Linked DNA regions of Macaca mulatta. The protein of the gene in region 1 purifies or fractionates together with the protein of each later gene. This does not show direct contact. Links are inferred from orthologs where the notes say so. Each region holds a gene or a part of one and is shown on either strand. Other genes may lie near its edges. The genes, in order: LSM4, PRMT5 and PATL1.

Region 1 (4,365 bases):
GCCGGACAGGGAGTTGCCTGACTCCCGGGTCCTCCAAGGCTGCAATGGCCTGGGGCTGTGACCATATATCTTGATTTCTCCTATATCCTCATCTCCAAACTCTGTTGGAGAAAGAGGTCAGAGGAAGGGGTGGATCCTCAAAATCTTAAAAGAAGATACATCAAAGTGCCAGGTGAGGCTTGGCACAGTGGCTTGCGCCTATAATCACAGCACTTTGGGAGGCTGAGGTGGGAGGATCACTTGAGCCCAGGAGTATGAGACCAGCTTGGGCAACACAGCAAGATTCTGTCTCTACAAAAAATGTAAGAATTAGACAGGTTTAGTGACGCATGTGGTCCCAGCTACTTGGGAGGCTGAGGTGGGAGGATCACTTGGGCCGGTGAGGTTGAGGCTGCAGTGATTGTGCCATTGCACTCCAGCCTGGACGACAGTGAGAGCTCAGTTCCAAAAAAGAAAAAAAAGTACAGAGTGCAGTGGCTCACACCTGTAATACCAGCACTTTGACACACCGAGGTGGGTGGATCACCTGAGGTCAGGGGTTCAAGACTAGCCTAGCCAACATGGTGAAACCCCATCTCTACTGAAAATACACAAATTATCCAGGCGTGGTGGCGCATGCCTGTGATCCCAAGCTACTTGGGAGGCTGAGGCAGGAAAATCACTCTCTCCGAGAGGTGGAGGTTTAGTGGGCTTTCTTGCAGCATCTGGAATCTGGTTCTCAGGTCTAGATCCACAAAGACCTAATCCAGTGCCTCCTAATTCAGGAAGCTGTCCAGGACTGCCCATCCCCGCTCCTAACCCAGGCCACTCCTTCTGGCCCTGCCCTGATCACAGGGAACTGGAAGTGTGTATCCCATGATGCCTTGTCCATTCTTGGCCACTCCTCCAGGAAATGGCTGGATAGCCAGGACTCTGGATGTTCAGAAGGTGGGAAGGGGCTGAATGAATGAGTTCACACTTTGCCCAGGCACCGTTCTACACACTGGGAATATAGTTGGAAGAAAAAAAAAGATTCTGCTTCCACAAAACTTAACACGGGTGGATCCTTCCAGCTCTGCCCAGTCTTGCATGCCAACTCTGCCCTCTAAGTACATGGCAGAGGGACAGGCTCTCTAAATCCTTGCTCTTGAAACCGCCTTTGCAAAAATTGTAACTGAGGAAATTATGACAGCGAAAAGAGATCAGACCTAACCGACTCCATCGTGCTTCTAACCTTTAAGCTGTTCTTGTTTATTCCTGGGCATAGGCCGAACTAACCTTGGGAAGGGATTTAGTGTATAGTTTGAAACAAAATTGGTAATAGCCCTTTCCCGAAAAGACCCTTTTCTTGCCTGGGGACCAGTCTGCCTTTGTAGGACTAACAAATTAGCTGCACGATTAGAAATTATTGTTTACGGGTCATACAGCCTCTGGCTGCAAGAGTCTGAACCTCCCCAAATTGCTCCTAGGGATAACATCACTATTATAAAATCTAAGATCAGTGTTTGAGATATTTTGCAGACCCTGTACTTGGTGGATCAGCTGACACCACCCAGACCAGTAATTTGGCTCAACCAGTCCTGCAATCCCACCCAGGAACAGAAGACAGCAAGAAAATCTCACTTCAACCCCCGCCCCCGCCCCCCCCCCCCCCCCCCCCCCGCCAATGACTCCATCTCCAACCTCAGGAAGCTCCAACCAATCAGCACTCCCCACTTCCTGAGCTCCTACCCGCCAAATTATCTTTAAAAACTCGGATCCCCTAATGCTCAGGGGAGACTGATTTCAGCAGTAATAAAACTCCAGTCTCCTGCATAGCTGGCTCTGTGTGAAATACTCTTTCTGTATTGCAATTGCCCTGTCTTGATAAATGGGCTCTGTCTAGGAAGCAGGCAAGGTGAACCCGTTGGGTGGCTACACACTGACCAGCTGGATTTAGGGAGAGCTCTCTCACTAATCCACAGTTCTGATGCAGCCACCCCTGGGGGGCCCTCCTGGTTACTGAATCTCCCACTGTCTCACAGTCTGGAAGTCACATCCCCAACAAGGGCCTTGGTTTCTCTCATTGAAAAAAGAAGGGCCAGATGCTGATGAGCCAGGAAACTCCCAGCTCTGGATTCCTTTTCTGATCTGCACACTGGGAGACACAGGCACTTTCTAGCCCAGATCCAGAACTTACAGAATCATAAACAATGTGGCCCTGCAGAGACCTGGGCTGCAATTTTTCCTTCTGTGTACGGGGAGGATGTACTTTGCCCACCCCTAGCTCAAAACGCTCCCTTCCTCTGGAATGACATGCTTTGTGAACCAAGGAGAAACACCACACCCCAGCACCAGGCCTACTTTTCAGCCAGAAAACAAGAGGCCTAGGAGGCTCTGCTGCTAGCATTTTAAGCATCTTACAAGCTCTGAAATTCCTAAAACCAAGTTTCACAACTCAGACTGGCCCCCTACTTCCCAGCACTCTAGGTTTCAATCTGGGAGGTCAGACTGGGTCCGAAGCGTAAGGGACCCCCTTCCCTGCCCAAAAACTCTCTGTTGCATTTGGCAGATCCCCACTTTTTTAACCTCAGTTTCCCAACCTGCAAAATGGGAAAACTAAGTAAGGCGAGGCCACTGTACTGTGGATACGAGTACGTGCAACCCTAAATCCCAGACACGAACGTGGTAGAACCACCTGCAGTCTCCAGCATCAGTTTCCCGGCCTTGTGCCGGGGGACGGGACTCAAGGCTCGGACCGTACGTTCGCCCCGCGCCAACCCAGCCCTCAGCGCCCGCCCGCAGGGCTCCTAACGACTGCGGTTCCCGCCTCCCGGTGAGACCCCGCCGTTGCTCTGCCCTCACCATGGTGCCGGCGGGGACCGGGCTCGCCGGCCACTTCCGCCGCCGCCGCTGCACACGCTCCCGGCGGTCTTCGCCACGCCGCGCCGCGCGCCACTGGGCTGAAAGAAAGTGGCAGAGACGCGAGCCAGTCAGCACCGGGCTAGAAGGGCGGTTAACCAATCCACGCGGAGTGGGGCGGGGCCCGCTAGGCGAAAGGGGCGGGCCGGGCCGTGTTCCCGCCAGAGGAACGAGGAAGAGAGCCGTAAAGTGCCGCGGCTTGTAATACAAAAGGGGGCGGAGCAACGCGCGCCGGGGCGGGGTGCATTGTGGGTAAACGCGTGCGCAGGTGAAACCTTCGTCGGTCTTCTGGGCTCCACGCTGTGGGCAAAGCCAGTAACTGCCTTTGCAGTTGAGGGAGAGAAATCCAGGCTTCGTGGTGATTGGGACGTCCCTGGTGTCGCCCTTCGGACTCCTAGTTTTCTGATTCTGTAATTATCCAGGGAACATCATTTAGTAGGTTGGAATCCTGACCACGACCCTCGGGGCCTCAGTTTTCTCCCTGTAAATAGTAGTGTCTGCTCCAAAACGTTACTTACTATGAGGATGAAATGAATGAAACCGTGTAAAAGCACTTAAAACAGCGTCTGGCATATATTAAGTACTTAATACCTATTCTGTGCCTGCTTCTGCTCATAGAAATGAACAGTACACAAAATTCGTGGCCCTTAGGGAGACAGACAGTAAACAAAGTAAATAGGCGAATGCTATTAGTTCCCTGGGGCCTGCTGTAACAAATGCCCACACACTGGGAGGCTTAAAACAACAGAACGTGATTTTCTCATAATTCAGGAGACCAGAATAATGAAATGAGGTTGTCAGTAGGGTTGGCTCCCTCTGGAGGCTCTGAGGACAATCTGCGTGTCCTATGCTTCTCTCCTGGGTTCTGGTGGCTGCTGGGAAACCTCGGAGTTCTTGGCTTGTAGATGCAGCCTTCCGCGTTCTGCCTCTGTCGTCACTTGGCCTTCTCTGTGTGTCTCTGAGTCTCAAACGACTCTCTCCTTTTTTTTTTCTTTTTTTGTAGAGACAGGGTCTCCCTATGTTGTCCAGGCTGGTCTCGAACTCTTGGGGTCAAGCAATCCTCCCTCCTCTGCCTCCCAAAGTGCTGGGATTACAGGCGTGAGCCACCGAGCCCAGCCTCTCCGTTTTCTTATAAGGACACGCCTTTCTCTTATTAAGCCCACCATAAATTCAGGATAATGTCATCGCAAGATCCTTAATTACATCTGCAAAGACCCTATTTTTTTTTTTTTTTTTTTTTGAAATGGAGTCTCATTCTATCACCCAGACTACAGTGCAGTGGTGGGATCTCAGCTCACTGCAATCCCTCCGTCCTGGGTTTAAGGGATTCTCCTGCCTCAGCCACCAGAGTGGCTAGGATTACAGGCACACGCCACAATGCCCAGCTAATTTTTGTATTTTTAGTAGAGACGGGGTTTCACCATGTTGGCCAGGCTGGCCTCGAACTCCTGACCTCAGGTGATCTACCCACCTCAGCCTCTCAAA
Region 2 (3,289 bases), on another chromosome or scaffold:
TTCCAATTCTGACTTGGATACTAATATCACATCATTGCACCCATTTCAAATTCCCCCTCTGTAAAATGGAAAATTGGACTAGATGACCTCTTAGGGACTTCAAACTGTACACCTGTGGTTTTATTCAAAAAAATAGGTAGCTTCTTGCTGGAGATTCCTGGATGGATTCCAGCCTTCCCAAGAGGTAACAAAGGAGAGGTAACCAGTTGCCAGTGCAGTAGCTCAAGAATACAGGAAGAGAAACTGGCTTCACTCACTATTCCATCTTTTCCCAAGGTGGCAAACTCTATGCCTCCTCCCCAGAGAAAAGCCTAACTACAGGTTCTAATGGACAAGAGCTCACTGTAACTGGTCAGAAAGGCCTATATCCAGGAGTACAACAGTCATTGCTCAGCTTCCTAAGTAGGGAATACAACTAGGCCCCTTTAGGTCTTGGATAAGGTATGAGGACAGATCTGAACATGCCTGGGTCTAAGTGAGGTGTGGGAAAACAGCGGCAGGGGCGGCAGGGTAGTGCAGGAAAGGGCTATAACTTTATTTGTATTTCCTCTTACACGAAACCATCAAAACAAGAACAGAGAAGGGCTGAACATCTGTCCAAACCCCATGTTCTCAGGGATATTCCAGGGAGCTCTTGAGGCTGAGTGCGTAGCTTCGAATCCAGCACTAATTCCTCACCCCCTGGCCTGAGGTCTTCACAGATTGGTGGCTTGAGCCCTGCAATTAATTATAATCCCTTGCCCACCTTGATGTAAGGCAGGAAAGCAGATTGAAATGCTCCTCTCTGATGGGCAAGGGGAATCACAGCCCATAGATGTACTGCACCTTCTGTACTACAGGAGCAGAACATGAAGCTGCTTCCAAGGCTCTGGACACTTGCACGCAGGGCTAGAGGCCAATGGTATATGAGCGGCCTGTGGGGTTGTGAATAGCAGAACAGACTGGTGCTGTCACAGCCCACTCATACCACACCTTCTTGGAATTGCTGCATCGCCAGAAACGCACACAGATGGTTTGGCCTTCACGTACCGTTATGGGCTGCTGTAAGAAGAAAGACAGGGAGGTTCAGGGTAGAGCTAATGAATTATAAATGGCAGTGTATTAAGGTAGGTGTGGAGATAAAATGATAAACATGACAAGACTGTCCCAACCCTCATGAAAGTTATTTGAAGCCTATCAGAACGCTGAACAATAAGACACTGAACAAATAATCAAAAGTGTGGTGAGTGCTGTGAACATGTACAGAGTGCTAGAAAAACAACTATGAAAGGGAACACTAACCTAGTCTAGGAGGTCAGAGAAAGTTTATCTCACAATAGAAATGTTTAAAGGAGACCTAGAAGATAGGTTAACGGTGTGAAGAGACAAGCAAAGAGCTCTGCAGGCAAAAGAGAGGCATGAAAGCCTGAGGTAGGAAAGAAGATCGACAATTAGAACCAAAAGAAGGTCCATAAGGCTGAAGCAGTGTAAGCAAGGGGACAGGAGCTGCAAAGGCAAGCAAACACTAGATCACATCAAGTCTTACAAGCAATGTTCCAGATTTTGACTTTTATCCTAAAGACAACGGGAAGGCATTGAAAGGTTTTAAGCAAAAAAGAGGTAAGATCAGGCCAGGCGCGGTGGCTCACGCCTGTAATCCCAGCACTTTGGGAGGCTGAGGCGGGTGGATCATGAGGTCGGGAGATCCAGACCATCCTGGCTAACACGGTAAAACCCCATCTCTACTAAAAACACAAACATTAGCCAGGCATGGTGGCTGGCACCTGTAGTCCCAAGTACTAGGGAGCCTGAGGCAGGAGAATGGCATGAACTGGAGAGGCGGAGCTTGCAGTGAGCCGAAATTGCACCACTGCACTCCAGCCTGGGTGACAGAGCGAGACTGTCTCTTTAAAAAAAAAAGAGAGAAAGAGAGAGATAAGATCAAATTTGAGTGTTTAAAAGATGGCTCTTGCTCAAAGTAGAGGACAGAAGGGTAGCCAGAATAGATGCGGGAAAGCCAGGCAGAAGGCCACTCCAAATACTCCCAACACCTACCACTGGGATCCAAGAGCATATGAAATCAGGAGAATATGAGTCATATAGTCAACTATCTTCCTGGGAGAAGGAAAGAGGCACAACACCAAAGGCAAAAGTTACTCCTTAACCTACAGAGTCTTAAAAGCAGTTCCTACCTTAATAGGGAAGAGGATGGGAAACCATGAGAACATCCCAGGAGAGTGAGTCTCTGGACGGATACCTGTGTGGACAAAATAATGAAAAAACAGAAGTCTCCATGGCTGTGCCTTTAGCCTATGTTGAAGAGGGTCTCTTCTCTAATCACACAAAGATCTCCATTCATTGAGTACTGGGCCCCCCATAAATCTAAATGACACATGTACATATAAGCTGCCCAGGCAGCACACCCTCATACTCTGCCATCCACTGCCATAGACACTCACTCAGAGTGATGTCCTGATAAAGCACAGTCTCAAAGTAGCCTGCAAAGCCATGCAGTACTGTGTTCACCTCCACGGGAAACTCCAAGGTGCAATAGCGGTTGTTGTCAATCATAGGATCTGTCAGGAAATAATCATGTGGATGACAAGGGGCCAGAAGCTCTAGACAACCTGGTAAACCATGAGCAAGACCCAGGAAGGGAAGAGTAGATAAGGCAGACTAGGGACAGCAAGGGAAGAAAGCAGGAGGAAGGAAGAAGCCCACACCCCTCTAGTCAGAGGACAGTCATAAAAGAATCTACCTCTGTTGGGATGGCTGAAGGTGAAACAGGGCTGGGGCGCAGAGAGCTGGTGGAAGTTGTGCAGCCGTACCACATAAGGCATCTCGAACTGGGCCTGTCAGAGACAAGGAGAGAGAGAGAGTGTTGGGGAAGACAGACAGGAGATACCTACTTCCCCAAGGATTAAAAAAAGTTTTACTTTAGTGCTTCCCCAATCCCTAACTTCTTCGCCTCTTCATCCCCAGCAGAAGAAAATAGCTGATGCAAATACAGAAAAAGAAGAGGACTGAAGAGTACCACTTCTTTCCAGAGAGTGTTTTTTTACCTCAGGGTCACGGTCCTTCTCCCTACAGGCCCGGACTTCATTGTACAGCTTGGAGGAGGAGATGGGAGCCAGGAAGGAAGTATATTCTCCGGGGATGCTCACACCGTCATCTGCACAGCAGGAGAGTCAAATTAGTTCCAGAGGGAGGGAAATGGTGTGTCTGTACTAACTGAAGGATCAGAAGGATCAAACCTCCCATGTCAAAACCAACCAACGTTGGCATGGGCATGGAAGAAAGAGACAAATGC
Region 3 (3,648 bases), on another chromosome or scaffold:
TAAAGCAACCCCTTATCAAAATCTATCCTTTCTCTCTTTGTTACAATAATTATCACAATAAAAAATCTAAAGTATTTCCCCCTTATTTTAGGGGTACTGAAAATTAGAATACATTTAAAAAATCATGAAATCTCAAGTAGAAAAGGACCTGAAAAGGCACATGTCAACGCGTTCAGTCCAGGCTCGAATAAAGGCTGAGTTTTGCATTTATTAAGGACAATGGTACTTTAAAATCACTTTGAAATGTCTTTACATATCCGTCCACATATACACTTGTCTATATTTAATCAGCGGCTTCTCAAATTTCTTTTATTATGGGCATTTTTCTTATGAGGACCTTACCTGGCTTATAGGCGTGCTCCAGTTTGGCCACCTGAGGGGTGATAAGCTTGGTGCGTTCCTTCTTAGGGCCATCACCTTGTATTTCTTCAGCAGCTGACAGTTTCTCCAGTTTTTCAAAGTAATTCTACCATGAGAGGATGATTTCGGTTGTAACATAAGCACAGAACACGACTGTTGTTTACCATCAAATAATTTATGCCAGTGACAGTAACACAAGTTCAGTTCTAGAAATGTACTGATAGTGAGTAGTGCAAGAGGCTAAGTATCTCAAAAGAAAATTTTACAAATATTTAATTGTACCAATATTTAAATGAATACCCTTACCAGTGTAGAGGACCAAACTATTATCCTCAAAACTAGCACAGAGTATTTACCTGGTAATAAAAATCATCCAGGTAGGGATCAGTGCTTTGAAGTTGCATCATCTGGATTTTGGAGACCCAATCCTTTTCCCGCTGCAACATGAGATTGGCATATGGATCCTTTCGGAGATGATCTTGATGACTGCTCCGGTGACTTCCTCTATCTCCTGCACCATTGAGATTCCGATGCTGACTGAAAAACATACACCACATTCACTCCAAGTGGGCAAATTAATTACGCTTTTTAACACAGAGGAATAAATGAGGCCAGTTTTTTTTTTTTTTTTTTAAAGATTCCCCTTGCTTTTCTTAAAAGGGAAGTGAAAAAGAACTAAGTTTTAATAGAATTTAAGAGGAAAGAGCTATGTAATAAATAATCAAGAAATAAAACTAAGATCTGAGTACCTTTCCATATGCTAAGCATATTCACCTATGGACTTTTGTATAAGCTCTAGAATAACTCTGTGAGGTAGGTAGTTTTCTCTTCCCCACTTAAGACAACAAACCGACGCCAAAGAGAGATCAAGTAACTTGTCCAAAGCCATACATCTAGTGGTGGACTAAGGGATTTTGACACAGGCGATTTAGCTCTGAAGTATACATAAATATTTTAAACTCATTAAAAATCACGAAATATTTCAAATTCAGAGAAAAAGCCCAGCAAATACTATAATAAATACCCATTTACCCATCACCTAGACCTAATAGAAAAAAATGTATTTGGTTGAATTTGCTTCAAATATTTTAAAGTAATATTAAAATAACACAGTGTTACACTGACAGAGGCCCTGTTGTACCCCTCTAGACCCAGTTTCCAGCTTCTCTTCCTTCATAGAGGAACCACTATCATGCCTTGGTATGTATCCTCCCTGAAATGTTTTTGTACGTTTATTACTTGTGTGTCTGTGTTTAAATATTACACAGTATTATTCTGTGTGCCTTTTAGTTTTACATAAATGGTACATGTAATTCCGTTCCTTGCTTCTTTACTCAATATTATGCTTTTCATATTTACATGTTGATAATACATTCAGGTTTACGGATACGAAGTAAACTTACAAAAAAAACAAACAACTAAATAGCATGTTGTTACACTGTCAAAATTAAAAGCTGAATTAAGAAGCCATAAAGGAGTTGGATGAGTACTTACTTTCTATTCTGTTGCTGTCTCTGATACAAGAGTCGACGGTGCTGTGGATGAAGGTGAGTTGTGTCCGGTCTAAACACTGGGGCCTGAGATCTAAGAAAAATGGAACAGAGGTTCTCAGTTTGGTCATCCTGATGATTTGAAATTTTAAAGAATGTTGTCAGTACAGGATAACTTCATACAGGTTAACTTAAGGGACTACAAAAGTCTATTCGGGCTGGGTGCAGTGTGTAATCCCAGCACTTTGGGAGGCCAAGGCGGGTGGAACACTTGAGGTCAGGAGCTCGAGACCAGCCTGGCCAACATGGTGAAACCCTGTCTTTATTAAAAATACAAAAATTAGCTGGGTGTGGTAGCAGGCGCCTGCAGTTCCAGCTACTTGGAAGGCTGAGGCAGTAGAATCGCTTGAGCCTAGGTGGCAGAGTCTGCAGTGAGCCGATATCGTGTGGGTCACTGCACTCCAGCCTGGGAGGCAGAGTGAGACTCTGTCTCAAAAAAATAAAAAAATAAAAAAGTCCATTCTAAGGAGACCTTTTAGAAGCAAAAGATAGTCATATTTTTACATATCTTCCACAAAGACCAAGTTCTAAAAGGGTGATCATGAAATCTGAGTGAATTAGGAGTAAAGCAGTATAATTCTTTTTCTTTTTGCTTTTAACTGTTTAACAGAAGTCTCTAAGTAGGTTTAACATACTCAGTTTCAACTATGTGGGAATATTATTAAAGATATATGTGTGATAGTTAATATGACTAGGCCTTAGTACCCAGTTATTTGGTCAAACACTGCTTAGATGTTGCTGTGAGGGTATTTTGTAAAGATGTGATTAACATTTATAACAAACTAAAGTTTCCCAGAAGAAGGAATTCTGCCTCAAGAGTGGAACACAGAAATCCTGCTTGAGTGTCTTGACTGCTGACCTGCTATACTTATTTCAAACTCAAGACTGCAACTTGAGCTTTTAAAAACTGTTTCTTGCCTGCTGGTCTGTCTTACGGATTTCGAACTTGTCAGTCTCTACAATCACATGAGCCGATTTCTTAAAATAAAACTTGCTCACATGAACATTCTTGCTCTCTTTCCTCTACTGGTTCTCGGGTGTCTCTTGAAAATCCTGACTGCCACAATACGATATGTAATAAAACACAACTTCACCGAAACAGGAACTTGAACCCCTTTTGTTATAAAACCAGAGGATAAAAGCAAACAACTTAGCTAGTGTGAAGATTAGCTGACTTTTCAGCATCTGTTGCTCTATTCCATACCTTCTGGTAATGTGAGAAAAATGTGATTCACAAGAAAGCCTGGAGATTGTCAAACATTTCCATGTTTGTCAACCTGAGGATCCAATAACATCTTAAAATTTATTAGTTAGCAAATATCAAGAGACTTATAAAACTACACATCCACAATCAAGAGACTTGGCTGATAATTGATAAATAGTGGCATTGATTTTGTATACCTTAGGTTTTGCAGGTGGGGTCCTGGGCCAGGAGGGTGCTGCTGTGGAGGTGGTGTAGCGGAGGGTGGAGCACTAAAGAAGGCACGGAAGCCTGGTGCTGGGGGAAGCATCTGCCCAACTCGCCCTTGTAGCAACTTGGGATTCATGGCAGCAAGTGGACTACCAACAAATCCAGGCACCCGTGCAAACTGGCTGGGAGACATCCGTCCAGGCTGTAGCTACAAAGAGGAAGATCTTAGATTTAGACAATTAGCAAGTCCCTTTGCTTTTGTCTACAGAAAGGTGAATACTGTTTCCATCAATAACTTTGTTTGAAAAAGTAAAGGCAAAAATAAGA

What was found.
Region 2: the proteins of LSM4 (region 1) and PRMT5 purify together in Homo sapiens (co-immunoprecipitation; 3 studies listed by BioGRID and IntAct, with this or other methods). This does not show direct contact. The link is inferred for Macaca mulatta from reciprocal best matches to the Homo sapiens genes LSM4 and PRMT5.
Region 3: the proteins of LSM4 (region 1) and PATL1 purify together in Homo sapiens (co-immunoprecipitation; 4 studies listed by BioGRID and IntAct, with this or other methods). This does not show direct contact. The link is inferred for Macaca mulatta from reciprocal best matches to the Homo sapiens genes LSM4 and PATL1.

Annotation. Positions count from the first base shown.
Region 1 is NC_133424.1:18,849,831-18,854,195, forward strand, and holds the start of LSM4 (U6 snRNA-associated Sm-like protein LSm4), read right to left. Parts: upstream 2,933-4,365; 5' UTR 2,827-2,932; coding exon 2,824-2,826; intron 1-2,823. UniProt on the Homo sapiens protein: Plays a role in pre-mRNA splicing as component of the U4/U6-U5 tri-snRNP complex that is involved in spliceosome assembly, and as component of the precatalytic spliceosome (spliceosome B complex).
Region 2 is NC_133412.1:96,003,532-96,006,820, forward strand, and holds the end of PRMT5 (protein arginine N-methyltransferase 5), read right to left. Parts: exon of another isoform or gene 3,152-3,289; coding exon 3,042-3,151; exon of another isoform or gene 2,962-3,041; intron 2,885-2,961; exon of another isoform or gene 2,832-2,884; coding exon 2,738-2,831; intron 2,556-2,737; coding exon 2,439-2,555; intron 2,237-2,438; coding exon 2,172-2,236; intron 1,107-2,171; exon of another isoform or gene 1,042-1,106; coding exon 889-1,041; 3' UTR 517-888; downstream 1-516. UniProt on the Homo sapiens protein: Arginine methyltransferase that can both catalyze the formation of omega-N monomethylarginine (MMA) and symmetrical dimethylarginine (sDMA), with a preference for the formation of MMA.
Region 3 is NC_133419.1:14,182,234-14,185,881, reverse strand, and holds part of PATL1 (protein PAT1 homolog 1), read right to left. Parts: intron 3,530-3,648; coding exon 3,312-3,529; intron 1,945-3,311; coding exon 1,855-1,944; intron 898-1,854; coding exon 717-897; intron 467-716; coding exon 343-466; intron 1-342. UniProt on the Homo sapiens protein: RNA-binding protein involved in deadenylation-dependent decapping of mRNAs, leading to the degradation of mRNAs. Acts as a scaffold protein that connects deadenylation and decapping machinery.